Linked DNA regions of Pelodiscus sinensis. The protein of the gene in region 2 interacts with the protein of the main gene of each other region in a biochemical or structural test. Links are inferred from orthologs where the notes say so. Each region holds a gene or a part of one and is shown on either strand. Other genes may lie near its edges.

Evidence for each region.
Region 1: the proteins of VDR (region 2) and HR form a complex in vitro, tested with the Homo sapiens proteins (2 studies listed by BioGRID and IntAct). The link is inferred for Pelodiscus sinensis from reciprocal best matches to the Homo sapiens genes VDR and HR.

What each region holds. Positions count from the first base shown.
Region 1 is NC_134738.1:11,647,768-11,658,505, reverse strand, and holds the start of HR (lysine-specific demethylase hairless), read right to left. Parts: upstream 5,183-10,738; 5' UTR 4,861-5,182; intron 1-4,860. UniProt on the Homo sapiens protein: Histone demethylase that specifically demethylates both mono- and dimethylated 'Lys-9' of histone H3. May act as a transcription regulator controlling hair biology (via targeting of collagens), neural activity, and cell cycle.
Region 2 is NC_134729.1:76,773-87,875, reverse strand, and holds the start of VDR (vitamin D3 receptor), read right to left. Parts: upstream 4,507-11,103; 5' UTR 4,403-4,506; intron 1-4,402.

The DNA.
Region 1 (10,738 bases), on a different chromosome or scaffold from region 2:
CAGCTGGGCCAGGGGACGCCTCCACCAGGCACGTCCCCCTTCCTTTAACTCCGGGCTTGCCGGTCAGCCCCGCTCCCGGCCCGGGGCAGAGGAAGATGCTCAAGACTTACAGGAGAGCAGCGACGGAGCTGCACCTGCCCCGTGGGGGTATCCTGCCAGCAATCCCCAGGCTGGCTCCTTTTCTGCCCCACGCCAGTGACCAGCTAGGTCACAATTGCAAATCCCCAAGGCATCAACCTGGGAAAAGTCAGCCTCCCAGCCAATGTTCCCTGTAAGCTGAGCGCTTGGGCGCCACGCAGGAGAGAGTCCAGTGCTGCCCAGCTGATCAGTTTTTGTCCCTACTGGTGGTGCACATTCACACAGGCCTCGGTGCACGTAACAACATTTATTCTGCACATGGATGGAAAAGATTAGAGGAAACATTGATCCCAGCCAGCTCCTGCCTTTCTCCATGGAAAAAAACCAGCCACCAACTGCCACTATGGGCCGGTTGCTAGAGGGCACAGAACGGCTGCCGTTTTCTCTGGCTTTGTCTCCCGGCAGTGGGAGTGAAGTCCTCTGCTTTGGGGATTTGCCCCACACGTCCCGATCCACAACCCATTTACTTCTGGGCTCTGAAGGGCACTGGGAACCGTCACCCAACCACAGGGCCGGTCTCTCCTGGTTCCCAGCACTAGGCAGCCTTTCCTTTCCTGGGGGGTTGATCCCGTCGGGAGAGGCAGGCGGGTTTGTGGGAAATGAAACTTTTCACGGGGCAGGGGGTCTGTTCCCACATTTCGCCCAGAGGGCAATCAAATGCAACAGAGCGTTCCATTGGAGGGCATTTCGGCATCGGGGTTTTGTTTCACTTTGTGAAGAAAGTTCATGATCCAAATACAACAGGACGTTTTGTTTTCTGGTTTTTGTTTTGGTTTAAAAAAGTCAAAACGGGAATGAAACATTTTGAGTCACACAAAGCAAATGTTCATTGGGAACTTTTTTTTTTAAATTTTCATTTCATTCCAGAATGGGAAAAATCCTCAGTGGTGGCATTTCCCATGAAATGGAAAAAATGCCATTGCTGCCCTGCTTGGAGCACCAGGTGATAGCTTCCAATCCAGCACAAGGTAAAATGTCATTTGTTTTTTTTAGCCACCCCTCTGTGTACCGAGTTGCTGGGTCTCAATCCACGTCCCACTGGGAGGAGACAGCCCTGGGGAGCCTTTAGTGAAGCAGCATCAAGAAATGCCTCTTCCCCCAAATGCTGCGTGCGGCCCTATAGGACTCCCATTGGGGTGCAGGGCAGAGAATTTGCTCCATGGTGTATTTATTCCTTGTCCTCCTTGCTCAGAGAGTCAACACTGGGGCCAATTAGCACCTGTATGTAGCAGAGGGCTGGCCGGGAGGGAGATCAGAACAGCTCCTAGCACAGGCAAGCTCTGATCCACGCTAATTGCCTGCCTGTTGCGTGCGTTCAGATCCTAACTATGTCACCCCCCCTCTGCCCCTCTTGGCATCAGCTGAAACCAATTAGCAGCTGGTTTATATCCGGGTTCCAAAGCAGGCGAACGGCAACGTCAGTTTCATGCCAACATGCCATTGCTGTCTCTGGCGTGACGCCTCGTGTGGGGCATGTGGCCGGCTTCCAGCCAGAGAGGGAGAGAAATTCAGAGAGATCCTGTGGGGAAAGGGTCAGGACTCCAAGCCTTGTGGGGCTGAGCCAGGGGAGCTAAAGGGACAGAGGTGCTCACAGCTCTCCCTCGGGCGGCGTGGAACCTCAGAGAGAAAGCAGGAGCACCTGGGGTCAGACCCCCGGCAGACGGACAGAAGGACGAGAACCTACAGCGAAAGGTAGCGTGTACGGTGATTAGACAGATGGACACAGGCATCATTTCTCACCAGGGATTCATTATCTGCCTGCGCTACCAGCAGGGAAGCCCTCGTTTCCTATCCAGGTGCCCGGCTCTCTGCTGTACCGAGCTCTCACATGCAGACAAGGTTAAACACCAGTAAGCCAAGCCCCTGGGTGGCCACGGCCCTGAGCATTTATCTTCCCCATCAGAGTGGGACTGAATTCCACAGCTCAGCTCCATCCGTGCATGGGAGATGCTGAGCTTGGAAAAGAGGAGACCGAGACGGGACATGGTAGCAGTTTTCTGGAACCTAAAAGGGTGTTATGAAGGGGGGGGGGGCGAATTGTTCTCCTTGGCCTCTGAGGACAGGACAAGAAGCAAGGGGTTTAAATTGCAGCGGGGGAGGTTTAGGTTGGACATTAGGAAAAACTTCCTGCCGGTCAGGGTGGTCAAACACTGGAATAAATTGCTGGGGGGTTGTGGAATCTCCATCACCGGAGATATTTCAGAGCGGGTTGGACAGACACCTGCCAGGGATGATCTGGATCAGGGCTACTCAACACGCGGCCCACGGCCCGTTTGTTTGCAGCCCGCAGTGCAGTTTGGGTTTACACAGGGGCTCACCACATGGCCCGCGGGTGGGAGCCAAGACAAAAAAGCATCAATAGAACGGTTTTCTGTGGCGATGTGTTTTAGTAGTTCCATTCCTGGACTGTCATTGCTCATTAAAAGTGCTGTCCTACGGGTGGAAATCAGGTCCATGTTGCATTTTAATAATATCAGCAGAACTGACTTAAACGGGGCCTGCGTGTGGTGCTGTCTTGACTACGTCTTTGTTTTCATGCCCGTCAGTGCGAAAGAAGCGATTTGCATAGATTTGCATCTATATTTGCATGTCTGTGCAACCAGACTTAAGTTGCAGCCCTCGTCATGCGCTGTCAGTATCACTGTGGCCCCCGGGGCTTCCAAAGTTGAGTAGCCCTGATCTAGCTGGTGCTTGGTCCTGCCGTGAGGGCCGGGGACTGGACTTGATGACCTCTCGAGGTCCCTTCCCGTTCTAGTGTTCTCTGAGTCTATGATTCTAAGCTCCTCCCAGAGTATGGGGTCTCAGGGTGGACTCTCGGACACGGTTCATGGCTAGTGTTCCCTGGGCGACTTTTCCTCCAGCCATCGACTGCTATCCGCTCTGGATTTCTTGCAGCGTTTCAGCGTTTCCCCCCATCCAGATCAGACCTTTCTGCCCCTCCACAGCCCCTCTTCGGGGATAGCAAAAGCCTGTCAGAAACAGAAACGGCCCCCGCCGGGCCTTATGCCGAGCCCCGGTCGGAATGACAAGCAGCGCTGAAACTCACGTCCAACAGGGAACAGCCACTGAGGCAGCTTCCTGAGCTCACGCCGAGCCTTTCTGCCATAGGAGCATGTTGAGGGAGAGGGGTGGTGCTGGGGAGCCACAGGCCTCCCCTCCCCTCTGACAGTCACCCCTGATCGCCTGTCCCTGGGACGCCGTCCAGTCCAGAGACCGTCCCCTAGAGAGCATTAGGAAGAAGGCCACATGGGCAACTGGGCCCCAGGGGTGCTGATGAGTAGTGGTTAGAGCAAGGGATGGGGCATCCGGAGTGCTGGGTCCTTGTCCCAACTCTAGAAGTGCGTGTTTCAAAGCCCAGATCTCCAGCCAGGACGGGCCTGGCTCTCAGGGTGTGTAGGGTAAACTGAGGCACATTTAGGGCTGCCTCAGTTTACCCTACAGGGTGTGGGGGAGAATTGGAAATCGGTGCCACGGGGTTATGACCATGATTACTGCAGCCTTTCCAAATGGGAGTGACACCCCAGAGGGCCCCAGCAGGGCAAAGATTGTGAAGCGTGACTCTAGTGGTAAGAGCAGGAGTAGTGGCTTCCCTATGCCTGCTTCCTATTCCCAGCCCTGCTAAGGGAGTGGTGCCTAGGGGCTAGATCACATGCCTTGGGTTCTCTTTCCAGCTCTACTGCTCAGGCCCGGGGGCATGTTACTTCCCTGGGCGGTGCCTCAGTTTCTCCTGCTTGTCACATGAGGATAGTCAGGCTGACCGACTGCACGGGGAGGCTGGCGGGTTACACTTTATAAAGCGCTTAGAGCCATGGTTCCCAAACTTTTTGATTTTTGAGAAACCCTCACGCCCTCTTCCCCAAAAAATAGCAGCAAAGCCTTGCCCCTCCCCCGAATTTCATCACGCCCCCCAAGCGGGCACGCCCCCCAGTTTGGGAACCCATGGCTTAGAGAGATGCAAGGGTGGACTGTAGCAATTCAGAGTATTCAATATCATTGTGAATTAACGCTACCACCAGAGACCGGTCCCGCTGCACGGCTACACCAGCTGCGCTTTATAAACACAGACTTTAAAAAAAAAAAAAATAAAGCCTTCAGTTTCCCCAGTCCCAGTCTGCCTGGGACCCAGCAGGAATGCATACTCTTCAGACTCCACAGAGCTAGCTAACCCGTCCGTCTCCTGGATCTCCCAGCCAGGCGGCTCATGAACCTAAGCGGAACCTCATTCCGGTCCCTGAAGGCTCTTGCTTTTAGGACAATAGGTACAGCCCTCATGCTGCCCAGGCCGGTGCCCTCCTGCGAGCGTATTTTTGTGGTGTTTGGGGACAGGGATCCCCAGACAGGAGAAAAGGGGCTGGAAGAGGAATGTAGGTTCCCCTTCCCAGGGCAGAAGACAGACGCCTTTACCCACCAACCCTCCGCTCACATCCCCCTCACGCCACCTTTCAACCTTGCCCCCTGCCGAGAAACCCCCCTCCAAACCAGCCTGCCTCTCACATCGCCTCTTGGACAAACCCCCACAGCCTCCTCTCTGTCTCTCCATCGCCCCTCGTCCCCTGCCCACGTCCTTCTGAGGAACCTACAGCTGGCACACGCCTGGCCTGGGCGCTTGGACTTCTTAGCTGCCGGAAGAAACTTTTTGGGAGTTGTCACTCGCTCATCCTTCCTCCCCGCCCCCTGCCCCACCAGCTGGTCCTGCAGAAGGAGTTAAGTTCTCACACTTACCTGAACAGAAGGCAGCCCCAGATCCGTAGCCCCAGATCCTGGAGAGGGGACGTCTAAGCGGGGCCACCTGGCCCCCCCTGGGTGGGGGCAGCCTCAGAGCAGCCGTGGCTTGGGTTTCCCGTAGCCCTCCTCCTCGGTAGCACAGCCTGGGAGCCAGCCGAAGGCTCTGCACGCTGCCAACAAAGAGGCTGCATTTAAACAACAGACATAATTATGCTTTTGATACCGTCTGCTAAAAATACAGCTCTGTGCTGTGCTGCGAGCCATGTGTGTGCAGGCTCACATGGCCTCTGAATGGCAGCAGCTGACTCAGGCAAGAGGGGGAAGGGGGGGGACTGTGGAGAAAGGGAGAGAAAGGAGGGGGGAGAGGCAGGCGAGGTGAGGGAGGGACAGCGAGAGCCAGCGAGGCCTGGTTGGACGCGCTCTGAGTGAGGGAATCCAAGCCAGGCTCCGGTGCCAATGTCAGATGGGGACAGCAGGCTCCCCGGGCGGGGGCTCGTCGGGTCTGGGCCAGTCTCAGGTGGGGCTGGGGGCTCCCTCGGGGCTGTATATGGGCTAGGACCCTGTCCATCTGGTGAGAGAGGCATTTGGCTCGAATTCCTGTCTGCTTCTGTCTCTTCCTCCACCCTTTTGGGCATCGCAGGAGACTTAGCCCTGCCTGCAAACGCCCCCACGGGGGTGCAAAGATCTGGATGGGGGGGGCTACTGAGGACCAGCCTGCACGGTGCATGGAGGGGGGGGAGCCATGCCGTCACCGTTGGAACCAGCCTCTCTAGGGACACGATCCAGATTCTGAGCCGCTCTCCCTCAGCTCCTGCTCTGGGCGTCCAGACAGAGGGGGGAGGAGATGGATGGGGGGGGTCACTTCCTTCTGGGGGCAGAGCGGAGGAAGGCGCCGTGGGGGAAGGGGGAGCAGGGGCCAGGGGAGATGGGATGCTGAAGAGGTGTACACCGCCATGGCCTCCGCCTGGCACTGCCCGGCTCCTCGCCCGGCCCAGGCCTGCCCTTTCCCCAGACGCCCCCCTGCAAGCGCGGCGCCATTGGGGGCAGAAAACGCCTCGGGCCAGAGGCAGGAAGGAAACTGGTTGGGTGGGAGCTGCCCCTTTGAGGGGTCCCCAGGCGGACGCGGCAGCCCCCAGTTCACACGCTGGCTCCTCTTCACTCCAACACAAAACTTGGGCAAACACCCCGCAGAGCAGGGCCCCCCCCCCCAACGGGTTCAGCCCCTCGCGCGGCCTCCTCTGCCGCGAGGACAGTCGCCCGCGCCCAGCCCCTGGGAGCTCCAAAGCCGTGGCCCTCCCCGGGCACACCTGGCCGGTGGCTTGCAGGTACCTGGCCCTTTCCCGCCGGGGTCTGGTAGCTGAAGAGGGCAGGCTGGCCCCGGAGCCCTTAAAGGGGCAGGCCGTAATGTTACACCCCCTTCAAGTCACCCTGTCCTATCTGCACACTGCTCCCCCTCCCCTCCCGTGGGTCGGCCGCACCTCCTGGGTCAGGCTGGGGGGGGGGGGGGAGGACTTTGTCCTATCCAAACTGGGGCAGGTCAGGCACAAGTCGCCTTTTAATAGCCCTGAGTCACCCCTGTCCCCCCGAAATGATCCCACGGAGCGTGCAGGCAAAGGCCCTTCCCTCGCACCTGGGTCGCTGACGGGCTCCGCAGGGAGGCAGCCGCCAGGGGAGGGGAAAGGGGCTGGCGTGCAGCATCCGAAGGGTTAAAATAGGCAGAGGGCGCAGGGACCAGGCAGGATAAGGGGGGAGGGAAGGTCTCACGGAGGCTCTGCGCTGACCCAGGCTGATGGCTTCGCTTCCCCCTTGGCTGAGCCCTCCGAGGGGTGAGCCGGTTGCAACAGCCCTGCCATAGGCTGACCCGTCTCCCCGGCAGTCCAAGCCTTGCGGCTGCCGAAACTCTCCCCAGCCCGGCAGGGCTGTCAAGTCAACCCCTCCATGCTGCCAGCCGGTGCCTGGATCTGCCGTCAGAGCCCCCAGGAGTACCCCGGCAGGGCGCAGGGGCAGTCGGGAGCAAGGCCCCGCTCTCCCTGGGAGCAGAGTAAAGCCGCACAAGGCAGGCTCTCGGCTCTCCCGCAGCTCGCTGGTTGCTCAGCCGGGCGGCAGGCCCAGCAGCGACAGCGTTAAGGGAGGGATGTGCCAAGCGCACTGTGGCTTGCTGGCTGGGGGCGGCACCCGGCAGTCCTGGCTGGTAACTTCCGTGGGCCCATGGCCGCCAGCTCCTCCGCGAGCTAAGAGTCCAGCAGAGATCTAGCCTGTTAATGAATAAACAACCCCCCGATCTCCCTCCCCATCACTGACCTCTGGTGCCAGCGTATCAGCGCAGGGGCGAGTACCAGCCCGGTGCACTGCGATCCGGCCGGCCTGGAATGCGGCCGCCCGGCCAGCTGCAGCTGCATGTTTACCCCCAGGATGCGGGGTCACGGCAGCCCAGTGGGACCAAAGGCCGGCTCAGCTGTCAAGAGACTGGACGGCCTGTTCAGAGACCCGCTCGGGAAGCAGAATTTTTGTCTGCCGGTGGCTGGCCAGGCCCTGTCGCCAGAGAGGTGTCTGCGTGGCCGTGGCATCGCCTGCTGGTCATTATAACCCGTGGCCTTGCCCCCAGCTGGGTGAGAACTAGGGGTGGGCAAAATACGGCCCGTGGGCCAGACCCGGCCCGCAGGAGCCTCCGCCAGGCTGCCTGCCTGCCCCGCTCTCGCTTGTGCTCAGAGCAGCTCTCTGAATCCTGCGAGTCCCGGGGGAAGACATTGCACACTGTCCCCACCCCCAGCAAAATCTTACAGCTCCCGTTGGCCAGTTTTCGGCCAATGGGAGCTGCTTGTTCGCAGGACAGGCAGCACAGGAAGTACCCCACCCCTCTATGGGCTCACAGGCTTCGGCCTCAGCCATGCATGCAGCCGGTGCAGGGGTGTGGAAGGCAGGGACCCCGGCTGAGGAATCCCAGCCAAAGCCTGCCTCTGACACCCCAGCCCCTCTCTCCCCCCAACCATCTGCCCCTCTCCTGCATCCCTACCCCATGTAACCCAAACTCTCTGCACCCCTTCTCCTGCACCCATACCCCCTCCTGCACCCTGCACCCCAGCTCCCTACCCCAGGTCTCAACCCCCTCCTTCACCCAAATTCCCTTCCAGATCCCACACCCCCTCCAGCACCCCAATCCTTCCCCCGAGCTCCCTTCTGCACCCAGCCTACAGCCTGCCCCCTCTCCATTAATATCATGGAAGAGTGCCACTATGACCTCTTACCAAATCCATGGAGTGTCCCCCATCAGAAATTATTGCCACCCCCAGGCTAGCTTGGTCTTGGCACAGCCCACCTTCGAGCAGCCCACCTCCCAGGGCCCAGCGAGGCAGGTGAGGGGGACCCACGCAGCACGGCCCCTCCCCACGCGGCAACCCCAGCCCCGCAGGGCGTACGGTCAGACGGGAGCGTCCCGTGGAGTCCGGCACGCTGGCCACGGGTGGCTCTTTGGCCAGCTGAGCGCGGCTGGTTGGCTCACACGATTATTCACCGTTTCGGAATGACGTGGCTAGTTCCCGATGGCAGTAGCCACGAGAGCGGTTGGACACCTGTCTGACCTCCGGCCCCTGGCAGGCCACAAAACCGCACCCACCCAGTCCAGACCCAGCGAACCCTCCTTACCTTCGGCAGTGCCAAGAGGACAGAGCGTCCCGTTCCTCTGGCTCCCGTCGCCGGGCCCAGCCTCGCCCCCCCGCCTGCCAGAGTACATCAGAGCCAAGGACGGTCAGTAACCAGCCAGGGCAGGGCTCGCACGGTGTTCCTGCTCCCCAGGGAACGGCACAGCCCTCCCTCTCAGAAGAACAGGGCCTACTGGGGGAGCATGATGCAGCCGGCATCAGCCTGTGAACGCTCCCCCTTCCCCCCACCACCCTCACTCCCGACACCTGCTCCTGCTTAGCCACATCCTCCTTGTCCACCAGGAGCTGCCCCATCTCCATCCTCTTAAGCAGCAGCCTGAGCCGGGTTGTGGGACTCTTCGAACCAAGCTAAGCGAGAGGCAGGAATGAGGCTGCTTTAGACAGTCCCCACGACCCTCGGTGCAGGGGGACATGCCTGGAGAAGGTTTCCAAAACTCTGGTTGTGGATACAGGGGCTTCCATCCAAGAAGCAAGGAAAGAGGCGCCATCTTTCAGAGGCAGCACTGGACAATGAATGGGGAGACCTGGAGTCTATTCCCTGTCTCTGCCACAGAGTCTGCGGGTGTCCTTGGGCAAGTCACATCACCTGTCTAGGCCTCAGTTTCCCACCTGTAAATTGGGAGAATAACATCTCCTCTCTCTCCCTAATCTATCCATGGGCCCTTTGAGGCAGGGACGGTCCCTCACTCCAGCATCTAGCGCAGTGGGAGCTCCATCATAACCATACCACAGTAACCAGGGCACTGGAGCAGCTGGCCTGTCTCTTTTCATGCCTGAGGCCAGTCTGACACTGGCTTTATGAGTGATCCCTTTCCACCTGACACGAATGCAGGGCAGGGAGGCTCCTGCCTGTAGTGTCCCTCCCCCACCTCGCCCCGAGCCCTGACCAGCCCTGCATTTCCGTCCATGAAGCGTTAACAGGACAGGGAAGCCAGCCAACTCCCTCGCCTGGAAAGGTCACAGGGGAGGAGGGAGCAATTGAGAAATCCGGCCTTTCCGTGCCAAGGCCAGGCAGTGTGCGGGCAGGGAACCCCACCCCTGCAGGGGTCCCCGCTAGGACTCCTGGGGGCCGGGCTTGGCTTCTCTACCCCTCGTCCATGCCGACTGGCTGCCGGAGCTGCGGGCGGAAGCTGGCGCAGCAGCCTGGCTGGCGAGAGACAGGGCGTAGCACGAAGCTGCCGAGGCAGGCCCAGCACCTGTGCGTGGGTTTTGACCGGAGGCCCGCGGACCCCTGAAGGGATCACAGCGTCTAAGGGGTCCCCAGGGGCCACCGCTCTGCAGGGGGCTGCATGTAAGACGTTGGAAGCCCCCGTCCTAGTACGTTCACTCTGGGACCGAGCGCCCGGGAAGCTGATTAGCGAGCCGTGAGCAGCCCTAGGCTCAAAGAGTAGTGGCCTGCGGGAACGCCCCGACACGGGTCTTGCGGAGGGGCTGACGCATGGCGAGGGAGCAAAGGGGTGCAGCAGAGGGAGGTATCCTGTCCCTGAGCTCAGATCCGACGAACGGCTGCAGGAAGCCAGGCCAGAGGAGGCCTGGCCCTGGAATCTGTGAGGAAGGAGCGAAATGAGTTTGGGGGGTGGCGGGTTGGGGGCGGCCACTGGGTAGCTGGGGGTAAGCGGCAGCGTCGGCTCAGACAGAGCCGGGGTCACGGCCGAGGGACACCCCACGCTGGCCAGGGAGAGGGCTGAGGGTTAGGACCCCGAGGGGAGCAGGCAGCATGTGGAGACGCACTTGGCACATCACCTACCCCCCACGCTGGGGGCTAGCCGGCCCCGGCCGAAAGTCTCCTGGCATCGCTGGAAGGAGGGGGCAGCCCCTGTCCCCGCACATAGGCCCTGCCGGTCCCACTGAGGCCGCCCGGGGCAGATGGGAACCTGGCAGCAGGTTGGGTGGCTGGAAAGAAACGGCTCCGGGGTTGGGCGAGCTCAGGTCAGCCTGACAATTGCTCCACTGGCCGCGCGCCAAGGGGGAGATTAAGGCTTTGCTGACTGCGAACGGGCCCCGGCCAACGAGCTGATGCTGCTGGTCTCAGTGTCTGGCATGGGGCAAGGGTGGGGGGAGGGTCCCCCGGGCTCTGTCCTCCGCAGCACTGGCGGGTGAGTCCCCCCCTAGGTAGCCCCCCCAGCGGGGCTGTGGGGGGCAATGGGCAGGCTTTGACCAGCCCTTCCTGGAGAAGGAACCTCACTGGGGTCTGTGTCCTGCTCAGGGGCTTCTCC
Region 2 (11,103 bases):
TGCAAAACTGAACGTAGCCAATAGTGTTTGATCTTCCACTGGCGATAGACACTCTTGTGCCTCTACCGACACTCAGAGCTCTGCCAAAGCAGCAGAGTGAGAAATGGCCATTGCTGGAACACCATCATAAAGAAAACAAGGATTTGGGAAGTTTCCTGAAGTCAGTACAGTTGAATGGATTGTACAGATCTTGCTGGTTATACAAGATTTAGTCATCAATCTTATGAATTATGTACTAGCTAGAAGGGCATAACTTTAAACCATCAAGTCCTAGTGGAAGCAAACAGCTTAAAAACCAGGACACCCTGAATGAACTGTCTTACAGGTCCTGTGTTGCACCTACTCTGCAATATACCCAGGAAGGTAAGGGAGTCTCTAGAAGTCCAAAGGCAAAACTGATTTCTATACCAGAGGACATGGAGGAAATATTCCCTCCAAGTAATGTTGGAGTCATTCTTCCTCCAAGAGTTGGAAGAAGGCTCATTTTAAAACAGATCTGAAATCTCCCTTGGATCACCGCCAGTAAGTATATGCCACTCAGTAGGTCTAGCTCACAGGGCAAGCCAAATACATCCCCACACCTTTAATTAACCTGGAGTACAGCAGACTCCACCGCTTTGCAGTGTTATTGTGCTCTTCACAGGTACAGCCGGTAGAAGGTCCCAGATCCTAAGTCTTGATCAACTATAAGGGAAATTTGTTTGTCCAGGGGCTCTGTTAAATCCCATGATTCTCCATCTTTTTCTTAAGATCAGGATTTTCCAGCAGAGTGAGAACTTTTGCAAATTTTTTTTTGTTGTTTTACCTGATCATTCATTCTTTGTCCAGCTGCCCAAGATTCCAGTACTTCTCTAGAGAAGGTCACGGGAAGTTTCAGCTGACTTGTTTTAGTTTTGGCAAAGTTACAGGAGGTATAAAATGCTTTTAAACACAGAGTCAGCATTTCAGCCAGGGACAGAAATAGCCACCTTTCCACAAGTAGCAAAGCTATATTTGCACTTTGCATAGGGTTATGTTATATAGCCATCTGCCCTAAGCACCTTAGTATCTAGGCACACAATTTTTTTTAATAAAAGCAAATAGTACAGCAAGCACTTTTCCTCAGGATTCGAGGATTTTAACATTTTTGACTCTTCAAAAACACAAAACAATCTGGACTTCTGTTGATGGGATTACATTCAAGACTGGATTTTAGTCAGACCTCCAAGTGCCCCAAGTAGTCTTTTCTTGGGGTTCACCAATTGCATAAATCTCAGTGGAGCACAATCATTTGGGCAAGTGGTGGGCAACAAATTGGAGTCTCAAAACTGCCAAGTCCCAACATGGGAAAGCTTTCAGAGATCAGGAACAAGACAGAATTTGTTCTGGAAATTAACAGGGGAAGTAGCTTCTGCAGAGCACCAGGGTGAGAGTTTTCATTGGCTTTTACTGGTGAAATAGTTGCAGATTCCATATGGTGATGAGGCAACTTAAATTGAAAATGATGAAAGCACAGATTGTACAGTCTACTGTAGCTCCCTGTACACAAGATTTGGGTGTAGTGCCCTAGCCAGCCAAAATTGTATGCTCTCTAGTCATGATTAAAACACACTGCTCAAGTCTCTAGTGCATTTGGTTAAAGTCATTCAGCTCTGAGCAATCAGAACTCTTAACTCTCTCATAACAAGATTAGCCTGAACTTTGGTGCATTTCAAGTTTGCGTACATATTTCAGAAAAACCGTCCTATCTGAATGAGAAAGTCTGCCTCATAGCATGAGCACTTTAAACTCACAGCAAAAACTTCAACTCAAAGCTAGTTTATAAACGCCCAGTATTGTGGAGGAAAGAGGCTTTAAAAGGGGGGGGGGGAGGGGAGTAAAATGACTAAGCTTTACATAATTACTCTATGTCTGATGGGTTAAAGGTTCTTTAGTGACTGGACTGGTTTAAAAGCAGTTATTAAAGCCTTTGTCCCATCCTGCCAGATACTAAGTGCTCTTGCCAGACAGCCTACTGACCCAGCTCTGACCTACTGTACTGCAGATGCAAGAGAGGAGTGCCTGTGTTTGCAGACTCCATACTAAAGCTGAACGCAGAACCAAGTTCCCTTCAGAAGGAAAGACATATGCTCTGGAACATGCTACAGCCTCTTATACTGAGCCCAGAAAGGAACATGAGTCACTGGTCTCATCTAATGTGGGAGGAGAGCAAGTCATGAAAGGAAACAAGCTTTAGAGGGGTTTTCATGGAAACTGGCTTCTATGGAACCTTACTTGACTTTCGGAAGTGCCAGACGCCAGCATTATGCTGTTACTACATCAGCCCTCCAAAGGCTAGAAAGCCACACTGCAGAAGACACCAGTCTTCCTTTTATACCTCGCATCTTTGCCCCAAGCAGAAGCTTCTCCTCCTAACCCAGCATGCTCATTCCCCCTTCCCAAAAAAGAAAATGATCCCTCCAGTTACTCTATCCTGTCAAAGTGGGGTCCAGAGATGCCTTAACCTTTCACCCATGTCCTAGACCCAACCCGGGGGGCACAGTTGAGGAGAAGGTTATGCACAAGGGAGCTTATCCCTCACAAAAGAGGGAAAAAAACCTTGGCAATTATATTGCAGTAAGGCAAATTTTTTATCATTAGGAATATAGTGAAACAAGTCACTACAAGTGTAGAGTCTATTGGAACTGGAGGCATTCTATACTGTGCCTCACGAAGTCTTAACCGGCACATTCATTCAATTGGCTCAGACGAAATAACTTGTGGATTGTGAGCCGACTGGAAAACTATAAACAAAATAGCTATGACAAGTAGCAAAGTCACACACAGAGAGGTACTGAGAAAGCAGCCTTAAGACTTGTTTTAACATGCTCATTCGTTATCCATAATATTTTGGTCATTCAGTATCCAGATGACTTAGTGACCAAAATATTATGGACAGCCACATAATAATCAAACACCAAACACAGCAGGTATCTATCTTGCTGCCAGGTAGCCGAGGGGTCTGGTTTTTCACAACACTTGTACAACTTGCAATCCCCAAAACATCTCATTAAACTGATCTGACATTCTTAGATTAAGTGGGAATGGGCTGCAGATCCCGCCACTGGGAATGAAAAAACAGAGACAGCAGAGAGATGGGCAGAAATTGTATAGAGATTCGACTTAAAACCCCCCAACACAGCTAATGTATCGGGGTGGAGAGGCTCGAAATCGGCTCTTCACAGAAGCACAAAGCCCAGGGGTTGACAGCAAGGCAGTTTGCATTGCTATGTGGCTGCAAGGTAAAAGTTTAAGGCACCAGGAAGCGAGTCCTTCTATACAACCACAGGAGGAATCCGGCATTTAATCCGGGCCCCGGGCCCCAGAGAGACATGGACAAAGCAACAGGAGCGCACGACAAGCCCCGACAGAAAGAGGAATAAGGGCGCCAGTCGCTACAGCCAGTCCCTGGACAGCACAGGAGCGCTCCGGCCCGGGGCTGGACGGGAACTGGGGGGGGTTGGACATGGGGAAGGGGGGAATCAACCCCCCAGTCCTCGCCCCAGCCCGCACCCGCGCTGGGCAGGGCTAACGCCAGGGGCCCCCCCCGACAACCCCTCACTCTGCCCCGAGAAAGGGAGCACCCCCCTTCCCCTCCGGGGGGGCCCCTCAGAGCCCGGCAGCGCCCCCCCCCTTCCCCTCCGGGGGGGCCCCTCAGAGCCCGGCAGCGCCCCCCCCCTTCCCCTCCGGGGGGGCCCCTCAGAGCCCGGCAGCGCCCCCCCTTCCCCTCCGGGGGGGGCGCCCCTCAGAGCCCGGCAGCGCCCCCCCCATTCCCCTCCGGGGGGGGCGCCCCTCAGAGCCCGGCAGCGCCCCCCCCATTCCCCTCCGGGGGGGGCGCCCCTCAGAGCCCGGCAGCGCCCCCCCCATTCCCCTCCGGGGGGGCGCCCCTCAGAGCCCGGCAGCGCCCCCCCCCATTCCCCTCCGGGGGGGCGCCCCTCAGAGCCCGGCAGCGCCCCCCCCCATTCCCCTCCGGGGGGGCGCCCCTCAGAGCCCGGCAGCGCCCCCCCCATTCCCCTCCGGGGGGGGCGCCCCTCAGAGCCCGGCAGCGCCCCCCCCATTCCCCTCCGGGGGGGGCGCCCCTCAGAGCCCGGCAGCGCCCCCCCCCATTCCCCTCCGGGGGGGCGCCCCTCAGAGCCCGGCAGCGCCCCCCCCATTCCCCTCCGGGGGGGCGCCCCTCAGAGCCCGGCAGCGCCCCCCCCATTCCCCTCCGGGGGGGCGCCCCTCAGAGCCCGGCAGCGCCCCCCCCCGTTCCCCTCCGGGGGGGGGCGCCCCTCAGAGCCCGGCAGCGCCCCCCCCCGTTCCCCTCCGGGGGGGGGCGCCCCTCAGAGCCCGGCAGCGCCCCGGGGGGGGGGAAGCTGAGCGCCCCCGGAGACCAGCCCGGTACCTGCACGTGCTACGAGCGCCCCCTGCTCCCGCCGGCCCCCCCCCGGCCCCGCGCCCGCCTTTTGACGGGAAGCGACCGGCGCCCCGCCCCCACCCGGAGCCGGGAACAGCCCCGCCCCTCGCCCCGCCCCCACCCGGAGCCGGGAACAGCCCCGCCCCTCGCCCCGCCCCCACCCGGAGCCGGGAAAAGCCCCGCCCCCTGCCCCGCCCTCACCCGGAGCCGGGAAAAGCCCCGCCCCCTGCCCCGCTTGTCCTCTGCCGCCTCACTTCGTCCCTCTTCGGACTGCCCCCCCCAGCTTGCCCCTCCTCCCCCCCAGCCCCTTCCCTCAGACCCCCAACCTGTCCCCCTCCCCTCAGCCCCCAACCTGTCCCCCTCCCCTCAGCCCCCTGCCTGCCCCCTCCCCCCAGCCCCTTCCCTCAGACCCCCAACCTGTCCCCCTCCCCTCAGCCCCCCAGCCTGCCCCCTCCCCTCAGACTCCCTGCCACCCCAGCCTCTGCCAGCCCTGCACAGCCGGGAAAGCCTGGCCGTTCTCTGCTGCATTCCCAGCCAGCAGCCGCTTGTCTCGGTGGCCCAGCGTGGCAGGTGCCCTGGGGACGGGCATGCTGGAGAGGCAGCTCCCAACAGCGCACTTGTCGGAGTGAGCCGTGGAGACGCGCAGGGGTTTGGGAACTCCGAACAGCCGCCGTGGAAATGGCACCAGCTCCTGGCCACAAGGTCCGTGCTGGGGCCCCAGCACTGAGGAGTTTTGCACTTGATTCCACTCTAGATCAGGGTGGTTCTGTCTCGGTCCAGTGTCCGAGCGGCAGAGCTTTTCCGCTCCCCCGCGGCTGCCCCGGCTGGCTCAGCCCTGCGTCTGTTGGCACCAGTGCCCAAGAATGGGAATGAAAGGAAACAATACACAAAATTCCTGCCCTGGGCAGCTCAGCAACCACCAGCTAGACTCCTGCTAGAGGCATGGCTGTTCTGCAGCCCCCTCCCACCTCCAGACCTCACACCCTTTTACACCAGGTGCAATCCGGCCATTCCGAGTGCCCTGGGCACCACGCAGGGCAGCAGAAAAACTGGCCCAGCAACTTCATGAATTTCCTTGCTGAGACTCTGCAGAACCCCAACATGCCTTCCTGTGCTAATGGGCGCTCTCATGAAGCTTCCTTCAAAGGCAGGGCCTTGGGGGGTTGCAGCAGTCTCCAAATCCTGCCTGTATCTGTTTAAATACAGTAAGGTGGTTCCAGCATTTAATTGCCTCTGCGGCTTGCTGTCTGCAGGGATGGCTCGTTTTGATGGATCTGGATTTGCAGTAGCTCTGTCTGGCCTGTCGATGGGGACAAAAGGGGCCAATTGTCCCTGGGCCCAGTGGACTTAAGGGGGTCCGGGGCTGCACCAGTCCTTTTAAATACCAGCAGCGGCTGCAGGGAGTCCTGCACAGGGCAGGAGGGGGAGTCTACACTGCACCGTAACTCGAAATAAGCGACGCGATTTGAGTTACGCAAATTGTGTATCTTCTCTCGAGGCTATTTTGAAGTAGCTTATTTCATCATTTGTCGCTGTCTACGCAGCACCAAATTTCGAAATACAGCGCTATTCCGAAGCACCCCTTACTCCTCGTAGAACGAGGTTTGCAGGGACGTCGGAATAGTGAGCCTGAAATAACGGGCTTGCTGTGAAGACGCGGGATAGCAATTTTGGGATACTCCGGTATCCTGAAATAGTGTTGCAGTGTAGACGGACCTGAGGAGGCTTGGAGCTTCCGGCTGCTTTCAAACTGCCGCGGCGAGTGAAATGGAGGCTGCGGTCGGCTTGTGCATGCACCGTCCTGTCACCGCTGTGCTGTCCCTGCTCCAGCTCCACATAGGGGTGACATTTTCCTTTTTAAAAACAGGGGCACCCGTTGCTCCCTGGAAGGGAGGTATTGATTGCTGGTTTGAGATCTCCAACAGAGATCTGCCTGCTGTTTGTGACCCCCTCTGTTCCAGGACTGGGGTACATAGTGTGAATCAACAAGCTACCATGAGAAAATACCCAGGCTCTGCTTCGCTGATTTCTCCTCCACTGAGAAACAGTCATGAAGGGCCCAAGATCTGCTACCATGTGGCAGAGAGATGACAGTCCTTCCGTCTTATCTGAGGACTTTTCTGACATCTTCCAGAGCCTTAGGAAAATGACCTCCTCTCACTCCAGTGCAGCGACCCAGCACAAAGCTTATGCAATACTTAAGTACCAGTTTAAGTCCCCAAAACATCCTGGTTTACAACACCTGAGACTTTGGACCCAGTATGCATCTGCAGGCAGATTTTCTGTCCTTTTTATTGGCCTTCTGAATTTGGCGCCTTTATGGCATATGAACTCGATATTTTCTCTGTAACCATGAGGGATAGAGACTTACTTCCCCCCTGCTAATGAAAGTCTCGTGTAATCACCAGACTCCATGAGCCGGGACTTCAGGAAACACGTAATATCACAAGATGTGGAAACAACAGGGACTATCACACACATCTGTAAAGTGTTATTTATGGATTTGTAGATTTCAAATTCCTTAATGTGTTTCCTCGTTTTCATTCTTCAGACATGTCTCTGCAAAAGCACCTGTGATTGGCAAGTTTTCAACCAAGGTTTGACATTGTTCTGAATGATTTGTTCAAAGAATTAGTGTGGAGAAGTTCTGTGGTGTGGTTGGTGAAAGAGGGCAGACTGGATGATCACAGTGGTCCCATCTGGCTTTGGAATCTTTGCATTTATGAGTTGGAGCTCCTTGTATAAAATTGGGAGGGGATTTGCAGGAAACTCCATTTAAATGTTGCCAGAATTTAAGCTGGCCAAATAATGGATTTTCAGTTTGCCGGGAATTCAGTTTGGGGGGAGGGAGTTCAGACTGAATTGAAAACCTTTTTTTAAAAAATTTTCAGCCAATCAAAAAGTCAGAAAAAAGTTTTTTAATTTATATTTTTCTTACATTTTTTTTAAATTAAAGGAAATTTCTAAATGAAAAGTCTTTTCAACTGTAAAGATCAAAACTTTTTGTTTTCAAAATATGAAAACAATAACCTTTGGAATTTTGGGGGTGAGGGTTGGGGATTTTTTCAAAACGAACAATGATGCGAAAATGGTACAAATTTGCAAAATGTTTTGGTACTGCCGAATCTGAATTTTTTACTGAAAAAAATGTGGTTGAAAAATTTGGGCTGGCTGAATGTCTCTCACATCTTTCGGCCCCTGATCCCCAGGAGAAATTGGTTTTATGGCCCTGACTGCCTGTTGGGAAAACAAACCTACATCAGGAGAGAAAGTGGAGGCGTCTAACACATCAGCACAAGAAGAAAAAAATCACCCCTATGAACCTATGAACCATAAACAGTAAGTTCAACAGCCTTAATTTGCCTTGGAAAAATGTTTTGCTAAACGTATCTAAATTGGTTTAATGGTGCCGATCAGGAAAATAAATCATAAAGGCAATCAAAATGTGCAGAACTGTGCAGTCAGCTGGGGTGAACACTGGTTATCATTGTGCAAGACAGACTTTTGGGGGCACAAGCAACTTTGCACAGCCTCAGTGTGGGGAAATACAGCCAGGCAGATTCTCCCTTGCCCAGAGTGCTGTGCAAAATGCTACTGACTCCAAGTGGTGTCGATCTGCAGCCACCCTGCACTAGTGTCTCTGACTCCAAACGTTCAGAAATTGCACGTCAAGCCTCTCCCAAACATAGCACAATTGGCTCACAAATCAGAAAACTTATAAGTAAATTAAGAAATTGGAGATTCTTTTATTTGCTTACTAGGCTTAGAGGTTTTAGAGATCGCCTATGTTGGCCTTTGTCTCCGGACATACGAGCTAGAAATGTACTTCCCCATTTTCAGTGAGAGGCGAGATACTCACATAATCCCATGACTCCAGGAGCAGGGGCTTAATGCAAAACACCGAATACCACAAGAGGATAACAGCAGAATGACTACACGAGAGGCGAACTATGGAGAAAAGGGTATTTATTGCCCAGATCCCCTTGACTTTCCTGGGGGCCGTGTCTACACTCCAGAGCCTCTGCGGGCCTAGCCCTCTGGTGTAGCTGCAGCATCTGCTAACGTATCCCAAGGATAATGTGAGGCAAGGTGACGTCAGAGCTCTTCCGCTGGCATAGTTGTGTCTATGCCGAGGGTTTGGCTGCACTGGTATATCAGCGAGGGGGGGTGAATTTTTTACACTCCCACCTGACATAGCAAATCTTCCTGGTGCAGTGCAGGCCTGGGATTGGGCTTTGTACGCCTGGCGAAGCAGAGCCTGGCTGCCTGGCTTTGGTTTAGGGGTGAATGAAATCCTCCGCAGCGGTGCATTGACTGTGGAGAGACCACTGTGCCCTGCAGAGTGAGTGCAGCCGATGGCCGCGATGTAGCCAAGTTGCCAGGTCTGGCTCACTCCGGCAAAGCCAGGAATCTCTGGGGGCCCCCGGGGCAATGCCAAAGTAGGGTCAGAGCACGCAGCCCCTCACGGGTCAATGCAGATCGCAGCACATGGGGCGCTGGGATATTTTCCCTCCATGCCAGCGACACGGCCGCAGACCGCGCAACGCTGCTTTTGAATCTCACTGGCGACGGAAGGAAGACCGGATCTCTGCTTGACCGGGGTGCTTTGCACAAAGTCAGACCTCTTCATGCTCCGGGTTTGGTGCTGATGGTGCATATGGGGTGCCTCGAGGCGCTCCCGTCTGCCTGTAGGAGGGGTCAGGTTTCTGGCCCGTACGCAATGCCGGCCGTGCGCGTGAGCTGTGGGTCAGCACAGAGACCTTTCTGCATCTGTGAGCGAGACGCGCAGGAGACAGCAGGACCGGTTTGCCGACGAGCACTGTCTGGCTGTGACCGTCTGAACTCGGCTTGCTGCCTCGGGCAGGGAGCTTGGCGGGGAGAGTGGACAGGAAACGTCCCGCCTTGGGGCAAGGCGAACCAGACAAACCAAAGGGACAGGCTGATAAGATCCAAGGAGGAGTGTGGGCCCCAGCCAAGCAAGAGGCCAGCTGGAAAGTAAAGCTGGAGACAGATGAGAAACAAGGCGCACCTTTTTGTCAGGGGGTAACTCACTGTGGGAACAACCTGCCAAGAGTCATGGGGGCACCTCCCTTATTGGCAACGTTTGTGTCGGGTGGGGAGTTGGTCTGCTCCAGGTCACACAGGCGTTCACGCCGAGAAGCCCCATGGGCCGTGCTATGCAGGTCTGACGGGGCTCTCAGCCTTTCCAAGCGGCAGCTTTCAGGAGCTGCTTCCATCTTTCAGAGCCTGAGTTTCACCTCACTGAGCGCCGACTCGCCGACTCACTCAGAATCAGCTTTAGAGAGACAGAAGTGTCCTGGCCACACTGCTACTGAATCATGGTTTCCTTTCGCACGTTCATCCTCTAATTACAAAAGAAATCAGTGGGGATGGAAATACGGCCCTTCCATTCCGGTGCATGGCTTGAGGAGCAGTAGAAACAAGCCACGGTCTGCGTGAAATTGTAGCCTGTACTGACTCTGCCCGTGCTTTTTGTGCCACCTGGGGTAAAACTAGGGTGGTGTCTAGATGGGTTGATGCAGCCCCTGGAAGAGCCCCGTGTACCCTGGTTGAGATCAGCCGGACTAGGTGACCACAACGGTATCAGCAGGGAGCAACTTGTGATCTGGAAAACCAGGTCTAGAGGCTTTAACATGAGCACGTCGGGAGGGGGGACAGCTCCGTGCTCCCAGAAGGCATTCTGGTTTCTGCGCCTTCTGGACGCCTGTGCTTCATGAGTTCCAGTTTTCCTCCATGAGAGCCAGAAAACATCTTTTCAGAAACAAAAGCCAAAATCCCCCCAGGTAGTTCCACAAGTCAGGGTCTGGGAGCTTGAAGGGAAGCTCCAGACTTCACAAGAATTGTCAGGATTGAGCGCCAAAGATCGCCAGGCATCGCCTCTCCTCTGTGGCAAGAGGAGTTGACAAGCACACGGTGAACAAAGCCGGAAAAGCAATATCACTACTAACACTGCCAAGCAGATGTCAAATCAGAGTTGCTGTCATCTGTTTTCCATAGCAGAGCTCAGAGCCCCCATAGTGCTGCACAGACTCAGAGCCACAAACATGCCACCTTTACAACCACAGGGCCCCGCTCGGAGTCTGTGCAGCTGTAGCACCTAGCGAACAGAGCCCATTGTGCAAGGTGCGGTATAGGCCCGGCGTAATGCCAATACTTAGTGATACAGACTGGCGCTGCTCAACCTTTTCTGGAAACATTGCTTGCTGGCAGCAGCTGAAGCTGGAAAAGTTTGTCCCAGACGGTGGAAGTGACAGGCACGTGAGAGGGGAAATGGCTTCGCCACCTTAACAATCTAATTCTAACGGCTGCTCCCACTCCTGCGCGATTGCTTTAATAGTGCTTGTTATGGGGGCGGGGGCAGTCACCAGGAGAAGCTGGTAATGATCTTGTGTTTGTGTAGCTGTACAAACTGTAGGCAGGAATCACTCTGCCCTCGGGCTGTGGGGTGAGAGGTCATGGCCAGTGTAGCAGAGAGCTGCTGTGGTGAGCAGTCTCAGCGGAGCTGGTTACTGAATTGACCCAGGCGTCTCCCAGCGCAGCTGCCTTTGGGACTGAACTGCAGACGCAGCTGCCCTTTTGCGTACATTTCTTCTCTGATCCCAATGGTACAGCCCATTAGCACACGATGTTCCCCCACTGGGGCTGGGGGCAGATGGTTTTCCCATCCT